Macaca fascicularis: one gene and its partner. The protein of the gene in region 1 interacts with the protein of each later gene in a pairwise test. Links are inferred from orthologs where the notes say so. Each region holds a gene or a part of one and is shown on either strand. Other genes may lie near its edges.

Region 1 (4,499 bases):
GGCGTGGAGACGAAGCAGGAAGGAAGGACAGACCGACGGAAGGCGCGGAGGACGGAAGGAGGGAGGAGGAGCCGCAGCGGCGCGGCAGGGCCCAGCCGCGGGGCGGGGCATCAGGCTCCGCCCCCAGGCCCCGCCCCGACGCGGGGTGGGCGGTGGCTCGCGGCCCGGCGGCTCACCTGGGCGACCAGGCGAGGCCACTCACGGCGGGAGGGGCAGGGGGTGGGGGCAGGGGGTGGGGCCAGCGCCGCTTTACCCCGAGGCCCAGACAGGCCTGCGGGCGCGCCAGCTCAACCTTGGTACCTTTCCCCAGGTGATGGTGAAGGAGCGGGGCTTTACCTGCCGCCCCCAAATCACTTCCCTTCCCAGTGGCAAGGGCGAAAGAGGCCCGACTCCCCCACTGGGGCGGTGTTGACCCAGGATGGCCCTTCCTGGGACCCCGGCCTCCTGGGCCTTCTGTGGGACGACAGGCTTAGGCTCTAGTCGGTCAACACACCTTGAAGAGGGAGGAGGTCACGTGCAAGATGAGTCACGACAGAATACGAGGGTTGAAGGCGGTATTTGTCTCACCGGGGACCTTGCAGTTGCATTCTCAACTGGGTCAAATAAAGGGCAAGAAAGAAATGTCTTTCTCTTTTGGGGGAGTGAGAGTTTGCGAAAAAACTGTTTCCCACCTCATCCTTTCCGTCCTAGGATTCCTTCTATCCCCCAGAGCGCGTCCTCTCCGGCTGTGGACTTCCTTTCCCTTTACCCGCTGTGGCTCTTCAAACCTCTTCACCTGCGGAACCCGCCCTCACCTTTGTTCCCAGGTGCCCAGCCCCCGCCTCGGCAACCTTCGCCACCCAGACTCGCTCTCCGCCCAGCTCCCACGTCCCGGCCCCGGCCGCGCTCCCTCAGGTGCGCTTCCTCTCGAATAGGCCCTTCTCCCCTAGCCGCCGGCCCCGACCCTGCCCCACTCCAGCTGTCCAGCTGTCCTGCGCAACTACGTTTCTGCTTCCCTGCGCCACCTGTTCTCCTAGCCTCCCCCCACCCCGCCCCGCGATTCCTCTGGATGTTCACTCCTTCCCGAGCAGTGCCACTCCTGGCAGCGGCCCGGGGTGCGCACAGGCACCTAGCCCCCGGGGCTTCCGCAGGGGAATCAGGCGGGCGGCGGGGACAGCCCGGGGCGGGTGGGGGAGGCGGGCGGCGAGGGCGGAGTGGTCTCACTCTAACCCAGGAGTGACGGGCCAATTCTGGCCCGCCTCCCGAGCTCTCGGATAGGTGGAGCCGCCCTCTGGTCCGCCCACCTCCCGCCCTGTGCTACCTCCGATTGGCCCGGCTGCGGGTTGGGCCGCTCGGCCTTAGCGCTGGCCCCCGGGAAGGCAGCAGGGGCGGTTGAGAAGTGAAGTCTTGGCCGGAGTTTGCTTCTTGCCAGGAAATCCGCGGTGGCGGCGGCGGCAATTCTCGGCGGAGCGGAGCCGGGCAGGCTCTCCGCTCCCTCAGCGGGCCGCGGAGAGCGGGAGCTGGTGGCCGTGCGCGGCCCGGGCAGCCGCGCTTTCCCAGTGAGTAACTTTGCCCTGCCCGCCTCGCTGCGCGCCCTCTCCCCGGCTGCGGGCAGCCGCCTCAGGTGCGGGCGTCGGCTGGGTGTGGAGGAGCGCCGCGCCCCGGGAGGCGGCCGGAGCGGCGCCGCTGCTCGCCCCGGAGCTTTGGTCGTCCGCGGCTGTCTTTGCTCGCCCGGGCTGCGGGGCTGGCGTGGACTCCGGTGTGGGGCTGGTCGGGGAGGGAGAGTCGGCGCCCGGTGCCCGCCGCCTGTAGGAGCCCTGGAGGCGGGCGGCCTCCGGCTGTTAGCATTTGCTGGTTCCGGCCACCGCGGTGCAGATCTTGGCGTCGTTTGCTTCTTAAGGGAAGGGAGAGGTGGGGTGAGTGTTTAAATTTCCTGTGTGTGTGTGTGTGGTGTCGGCAATGCGAGTGGCACTAGCTGCCTTTGTCGGATTTTGTTCCTCTGCAAAGGGATAGGGAGAGATCGTTCCCTCCGCCCTAGCCTGTTGCCTGTGAATTCTCACCTTTCTCTTTAGGCTGGAGAGGGTGGGAGATAGATTTGACATATTCCAGTGGGTAATTTAAAAATGCGAATCTTGATTTGGAACCAGTTGCACACAAAGCATCGTTCAGGAAATACATCACTCGCTTTTCAAAGCTTTATGCCACGTTTTAAACAAGGACTTTTGACTCATGTAGTGTTTCTTCTAGTATTTCAGTTTACGTTGAGTTTATGAATCCAGACGTTCGTTTGTGCCAGGAGCTAAAGTACACTTATGCATGGACTTTGCTGTATTTATTATCCTTTTTAAAATCACAGAAATCAGAAACAAAGTTGAGTGAAGAGCGGTGGCGGTGCAGGAGGAGGAACACTTGTGAGCTCCAGCTTATTGGAACTGCCTTTAAGAATTTCACATTCTTGCGGCAATAGTACTTACTTGTAAATTGGCCTTCTTCCCAGGACAGATTTTGATATTTCTTTTGCATGTACTTCGATGCAGCACTGATGAAGTTGGATCTCAGTAGATCAATTTTATTTACTTTGCTAGATTTGATTCCCACCCCCACACCTCTTTAGAAAATGGACTTTGGCAGGTAAAGAAGGAAGCGGGAATCTGGTATCCTTTTTGGCTTGTCAAAGCTTTGTTGAGCCATGAATAACAAAGTTTTGGCTTTTTAAGCTTGTCCAAGTCCCACATGTGAGTTTTCCCATGGGGTAAAAGTAGGCCAAATGAGAACCAAAGTAGAATAACATTACTTTTAATTCGGCCCACTTGTGTGTTACATTCTCCATATATCTTGTTTCTCTCGTCTTCTCATCAGCTTTGACATTTTTTCATTATTTATTCATTTAGCCACTGATAAAGTACCTACTGCATGCCAGCCATTGATGGCAGGGGTTAGTTCTTGCCCAGAAGTTTTCTCATTTGGAAATTGATCCATGCTTTTATCCCGCTAGTTACCGTGAAGTAATTTGAACTTAGGGAGCATTTCTGCCTGGAGACCTGTAAGAATAGGTGTTACGTAGGCACCTAGCCTTCAGATTGATTTGGGATATCGTACATTGTAGGCACGGAGCACGCAGGCCACTTAAAAATAAATGCATGTATCTTTGGGCTGTTGTATTATGAGCTTTGCATATGGGCTTGTCTGGCCGAAGGACCCAGTGTCCAAGGTGGAAGTAGTAGTCAGGGACATGTATGGTATTCATTTCAGAGCACTTGGCACCTTTTCTTGCTTACATTGGTCACTAAAATATTTACTGAATTGACTTGAACAGAAAAATGAAGGATTTTGTATACCAGATTAAGAAATTTGGACTTTATCCAGTCAGTGATACTGAGCTGCTAATTTTAAGCAGGAGAATGTCATGATAACATTCGCGTTCCAGAAAGATATCTGCAGCATCTGGAGGATGGTGGGCTTCCAGATGGGCGGTATTGAGACTAAGTTGGAGGCTGTTATAATGGAGGGGTTAAGTGCTCAGGGATTCTCTATTCAGATTACCTGGGGTGGAATCAAGCTCTGTCATACACTGAAACCTCTTTGTTCCTTAGGTTTTTCATCTCAGAGTTTGGGGGATAGAACTTGAAAAAACATGTATATTACTTAGAATAGTGATTGCCACATAGTAAGGACTTAGTAAATGCTAGTGTGCTGGCAGTGGAAGGAGAAACGACATGGCATTTAACGCGTATGACTAGGAGGCTGGACCAGGTAAGTGACTAGATAGGCTTAAGGGAGGGGAAGGATGAATCCTGGGTTGTTTGATTTCAGGCATTGATTGACATGTACTGGGTAAGCTGGCTGTGGAATTAAAACGGGTCAAATTCTAATTCTATTACTTACCCTTAGAATTACTATCCTGACAGAACTTTGATTTCCTAATATTTGGGAAATGATTGTCATACCTGTTCAATAGGGTTTGAGAAATTACACATGTAATGCCTTTGGCAGGGTACCTAGCACATTCCAAGTGCATAGATGATGACGTTAATGAGCTAGTGGAATGTTGGAGGATATGAGAAGAAGCAGTTAAAAACAATTGATGGTAGAGGTGTGGAAGGGGAGATAAGTTCAGTTTTGGACCAATCTAAGGAGGTGCTAAATGGATGGTTGAGAGATCCATGATGCAGTTGTTGGATAGTTGTGTCTCACAGGAGCTAGAAAAGAATAGAAAAGAAAAAAAAAGAGTTCACAGAAAGCCTTTATGGGTGTGGTAAGCTTTATAGGCGATTTAGAGGAAGGGGAGGGTGAAGGGGTTCACAGTGGAGCAATGTCAGAAGTGTTGACATTGAATATTAGGCATTTCTGTCCTTAAAATACATTTTGGCCACCATCAAAGAAAGAAGGACTCCAGGCTCTTGTAATCTGGTTGGCTCTTCGGCCTTCTCCCCCTCTTCTTTCTTTCCTTTCTGACTGCCACCCCAAAATTCAAATATCTTTAAATTGTATTATGAAGAACTATTTAACTTCCCCTCCTG
Region 2 (4,486 bases), on another chromosome or scaffold:
TCCAATTCCACAGGTTTGCTCATCTAAGACTCAGCTCAGACCTCCCTAGGTGGGGCGGCCAGGGTGGGGGTGGGGAGGTAGAGAAGCTGAGTCCCCCAGGACTTCGGAGCTTCTTGTCCCCCACCCCCTACCTGGAGGGCAGACCACAGTGTTGGGCAGGGACAGACAGGTGGACATCCCCACTCTACTCAACTTCTGTTGATTCAGCCCAGTTCCTGCCTCATGGCCAGAGCGTCCCCTCCCCTGTCCTCTCCTCCCCCAACTCCACTCCCAGCACCTGAAAACTCCAGTCACCTGTGCCTTGGCTGGGCTTTAAGGCCAGGTGACTGGGCCTTGAGGGGTTAGAGGAAGCCCTTCCACACTTTTTTGTGTTTTTGGGTTTTTGGAGACAGGGTCCTGCTTGGTGGCCCAGGCTGGAGTGCAGTGGCATGATCATAGCTCGCTGCAGCCTCTCAACTTCCCAGGTTCAGGTGATCCTCCCACCTCAGCCTCCAGAGTAGCTGGGACTACAGGCACACTTCACCACACCTGGCTGATTTTTAAATTTTTGTTTTTGTAGGTTTTAAAACTTTTTGTAGAGATGTGGTACCACTATATTACTCAGGCTGGTTTCAAACTCCTGGGCCCAAGGTATCCTCCTGCCTTGGCCTCCCAACGTGTTGGGATTACAGGTGTGAGTCACAGAGCCCAGCCTCCACATTTTCTTTTCTTTTCTTTTCTTTTTTTGAGATGGAGTCTCACTCTGTTGCCCAGGCTGGAGTACAGTGGTGTGATCTCGGCTCACTGCAAGCTCTGCCTCGCGGGTTCACGCCATTCTCCTGCCTCAGCCTCCCCAGTAGCTGTGACTACAGGCACCCACCACCATGCCCGGCTAATTTTTTGTATTTTTAGTAGAGACGGGATTTCACCATGTTAGCCAGGATGGTCTCGATCTCCTGACCTCGTGATCCGCCTGCCTCGGCCTCCCAAAGTGCTGGGATGACAGGCGTGAGCCACTGTGCCTGGCTTCAGCCTCCACATTTTCTCGACAGGGTCTTTAAGACCTGGTTCCCAGAAGGGTGGCCCTTTGGGAGTTCAGGGTCTCCAGCTCTCTCAGTTTCCCCAGCTACCGGGGTCCAGCCAGACTGCAAAGCTGCAAAGTCCTAAGACCCCTACATCTCCCGCCAGCCCCAAGCCCAGCAGTACAAAGCACCATAGGACCACTCTCTTCCTCGCAACCCCGCTAATTGCGAGGCGCCAGGAGTAGGGTCGACCTGGGCGCGCCTGCGACGAGGCGGGGCCGAGTCGTCCGGGGGCGGGGCGGGGCGGCTCCGGGTCTCCTGTCCCCGCCTGCCCTGACTCACCCTCGCGGCCCGCCCGGGAACTCTGCGGGAGTCGCGGCAGCTCCGCTCCCAGAGACCCAGGAGTTGGGCCCAGCGTCCCTCCCGGAACGGTGAGTAGGTGGCTCTTCGCCTCTGGGTACCCCACGAGGTGGCGGGGTGGGAGTCGGACCGGGAGTCCCCGGGTCTGGACAAGGGGCAGAGTCGCTCCAGGTGCGCTGGCCCTGTGGCCAGGGCAGGCCGTCCCGACACACCAGGAGTTGGGGTGGGGGTGCGGGCTGGGGCAAAGGGAAACCTGGCCCACGAGGTCCCTGTCCTGGGAGCCAGGCAGACCCGGCCAAGTCTCAGCGTGAAGATAAACAGGCTGAAGATAAACTTGATTTTGGGGATCTCAACCACTTCCCCCTCCGTTTGGCATCTGGGAAGACACTGACAACTCATCCCGGGGAGACCCTCAGAGTCCCAGAACCTACCACTTGGGGTGGGTTCAACCAAGCCTGACCTCTGGTGCTCTTGAACTTACAGATGTCCCAGATTTTCAAGTCCGTTAGCAGAGGCAGCTTGCAAAACTACCCCCCTGGGAATCCACGGGCCTGGAGCCTGACCCAGGACGGGCTACAAAGATGCCACCCTCCCCCACCCTAGACCCTCAGTTTCTCCCTCGTATAAAAGGTTGAAGCTCGGCCGGACACCGTGGCTTACGTCTATAATCCCAGCACTTTGGGAGGCCGAGGCAGCCAGGTCACCTGAGGTCAGGTATTCAAGACCAGCCTGGCTAACACCGTGAAACCCCATCTCTACTAAAAATACAAAAATGAGCTGGGCATGGTGGTGCATACCTGTAGTCCCAGCTATTCGGGAGGCTGAGGCATTAGTATTGCTCGGACCCAAGAGGTGGAGGTTGCAGTGCGTTGAGATTGGGCCACTGCACTCCAGCCTGGTCGACAGAGCGAGACTCCATCTCAAAAAAAAAAAAGGTTGAGGCCAGGCACAGTGGCTCACGCCTATAATCCCAGCACTTTAGGAGGCTGAGGTGGGAGGATGCTTGGACTCAGGAGTTCAAGACCAGCTTGGGCAACATAGCGAGACCCCTATCTCTACAAAAATTACAAAAGTTGGCTGGGCATGGTAGCATGCACCTGTAGTCCCAGCTACTGGGGAGGCTGAGGCAGGAGGATCACTTAAGCCCAGGAGTTCGAGGCTGCAATGAGCTATGATCGCGCCATTGAACTCCAGCCTGGGTAACAGAGCAAGACCATATCTCTCTCTATTTTTTTTTTTTTTTTTTTTTTTGAGATAGAGTCTTGCTCTGTCACCAGGCTGGAGTGCAGTGGTGCGATCTTGGCTCATGGCAACCTCCGCCTCCAAGGTTCAAGCTATTCTCCTGCCTTAGCCTCCTGAGTAGCTGGGACTACAAGCACGCGGCACCATGCCCAGCTAATCTTTGTATTTTTAGAGATAGGGTTTCATCATGTTGGCCGGGATGGTCTTGATCTCTTGACCTCGTGATCTACCTGCCTCAGTCTCTCAAAGTGCTGGGATTACAGGTGTGATCCACTGCATCTGTCAGGACCCTATGTCTTAAAAAAAAAAAAAAAAAGTTGGGCCTTGTGTTCTACAAAACCCCTCTTAGGGCTGAAAACTGCTGGATGTTTCTTCCTTGTTCCCTGCCTCTTAGCATGGGCTGTGCGTGTGGAGGGTCTCACTCTTCCACCCTTCCCCCAGCAGGAACTCACCAACACATATTTTGGAAGCAAGTGGCTTGAGGAGGACCTGGGAGGGAGGAGGGGTGAGGCATGGGTGGAAGGAACCAGGGCTGGTGGGAGCCACATGGTCTTAGGCTGGAAGGTCTTCCAGCCTGGCCTGCTGCAATGCAACACCGCTCTTATGTGCTTTTGGCAAAGATGCTGTTTTGTTGTTGTTGTTTGATTTTTGAGATAGTTTTGCTCTGTTGCCCAGGCTGGAGTGCAGTGGCGCAATCACGGCTCACTGCAACTTCCACCTCCTGGGTTCAAGAGATTCTCCCGCTTCAGCCGGGCGCGGTGGCTCAAGCCTGTAATCCTAGCTCTTTGGGAGGCAGAGGTGGGTGGATCACGAGGTCAGGAGATCGAGACCATCCTGGCTAACACGATGAAACCCCACCTCTACTAAAAATACAAAAAATTAGCCGGGTGAAGTGGCGGGCACCTGTAGTCCCAGCTACTCTGGAGGCTGAGGCAGGAGAATGGCGTGAACCCGGGAGGCGGAGCTTGCAGTGAGCAGAGATCGTGCCACTGTACTCCAGCCTGGGCAACAGAGAGAGATTCCATTTCAGAAAAAAAAAAAAAAAGAGATTCCCCATTAGCTGGGAGTATAGGCGCCCACTGCCGCGCCCGGCTAATTTATTATTTTTAGTAGACACGGGGTTTTATCATGCTGGCTAGCCTGGTCTCTAACTCCTGACCTCAAATGATCTGCCCGCCTTGGCCTCCCGAAGCATTGGGATTACAGGCATGAGCCACCATGCCCAGCAAGATGCTGCATTTTAATTAAGAGGCTGTCTCCCAAGAGGGAACAGAGCGGTTGCAATCCTACAGGCAGGACCTGGAGGCTGGATGGGTCAGGCTTCGAATGCCACTTGAACTGTAGAAGCTTGAACAAGTTATTTCTCTCCCTTGAGTCTGGAAAACAAAGTCCCCGACATCGACACTGCCTGACTTGGGAGAAAAGGAGGCGTTCAGTGTCTGGTGGAGGAAGCTGAGCGTATATACGTCCCATCGTTGTGTTTTCCCTGGCTCTGCCCCAATTCTTCGAGCCCCTGTTCCCACCACCCCTTCCCCCCACCCCTGCTCAGACAAAGTGGGGGCCTGTCTTGTGTCTGTGGAAATTTAATGGCAGGTTTGTGAGGATCAAGTTTGAGTCATGGAGACAGATAATGATAGCCCCTGTGGCTGCCCCCCGGTCCCCTGAGAGTTTCTGCCTTCTTGTCTATGATTGTGCACCTGGGATGGCTATTGGTGGAGCTCACACCAGGGTGGCAAGGACAGGAAGTTGGTCCCGGCTCGTGTTTGTGTGCGTTTTGTGTGATTTCTTCTGCAGTCCCCAGAGTCAGTAGTTTTGTTTTGTTTTGTTTTGTTTTTTTGAGATGGAGTCTCAATTTGTCACCCAGGCTGGAGTACAGTGGCGAG

What was found. The genes of interacting proteins can lie anywhere in the genome.
Region 2: the proteins of LNX2 (region 1) and LRRC8E interact in a two-hybrid assay, tested with the Homo sapiens proteins (3 studies listed by BioGRID and IntAct). The link is inferred for Macaca fascicularis from reciprocal best matches to the Homo sapiens genes LNX2 and LRRC8E.

Annotation. Positions count from the first base shown.
Region 1 is NC_088391.1:7,597,453-7,601,951, reverse strand, and holds the start of LNX2 (ligand of Numb protein X 2), read left to right. Parts: upstream 1-1,352; 5' UTR 1,353-1,538; intron 1,539-4,499.
Region 2 is NC_088393.1:8,599,880-8,604,365, forward strand, and holds the start of LRRC8E (volume-regulated anion channel subunit LRRC8E), read left to right. Parts: upstream 1-1,336; 5' UTR 1,337-1,432; intron 1,433-4,486. UniProt on the Homo sapiens protein: Non-essential component of the volume-regulated anion channel (VRAC, also named VSOAC channel), an anion channel required to maintain a constant cell volume in response to extracellular or intracellular osmotic changes.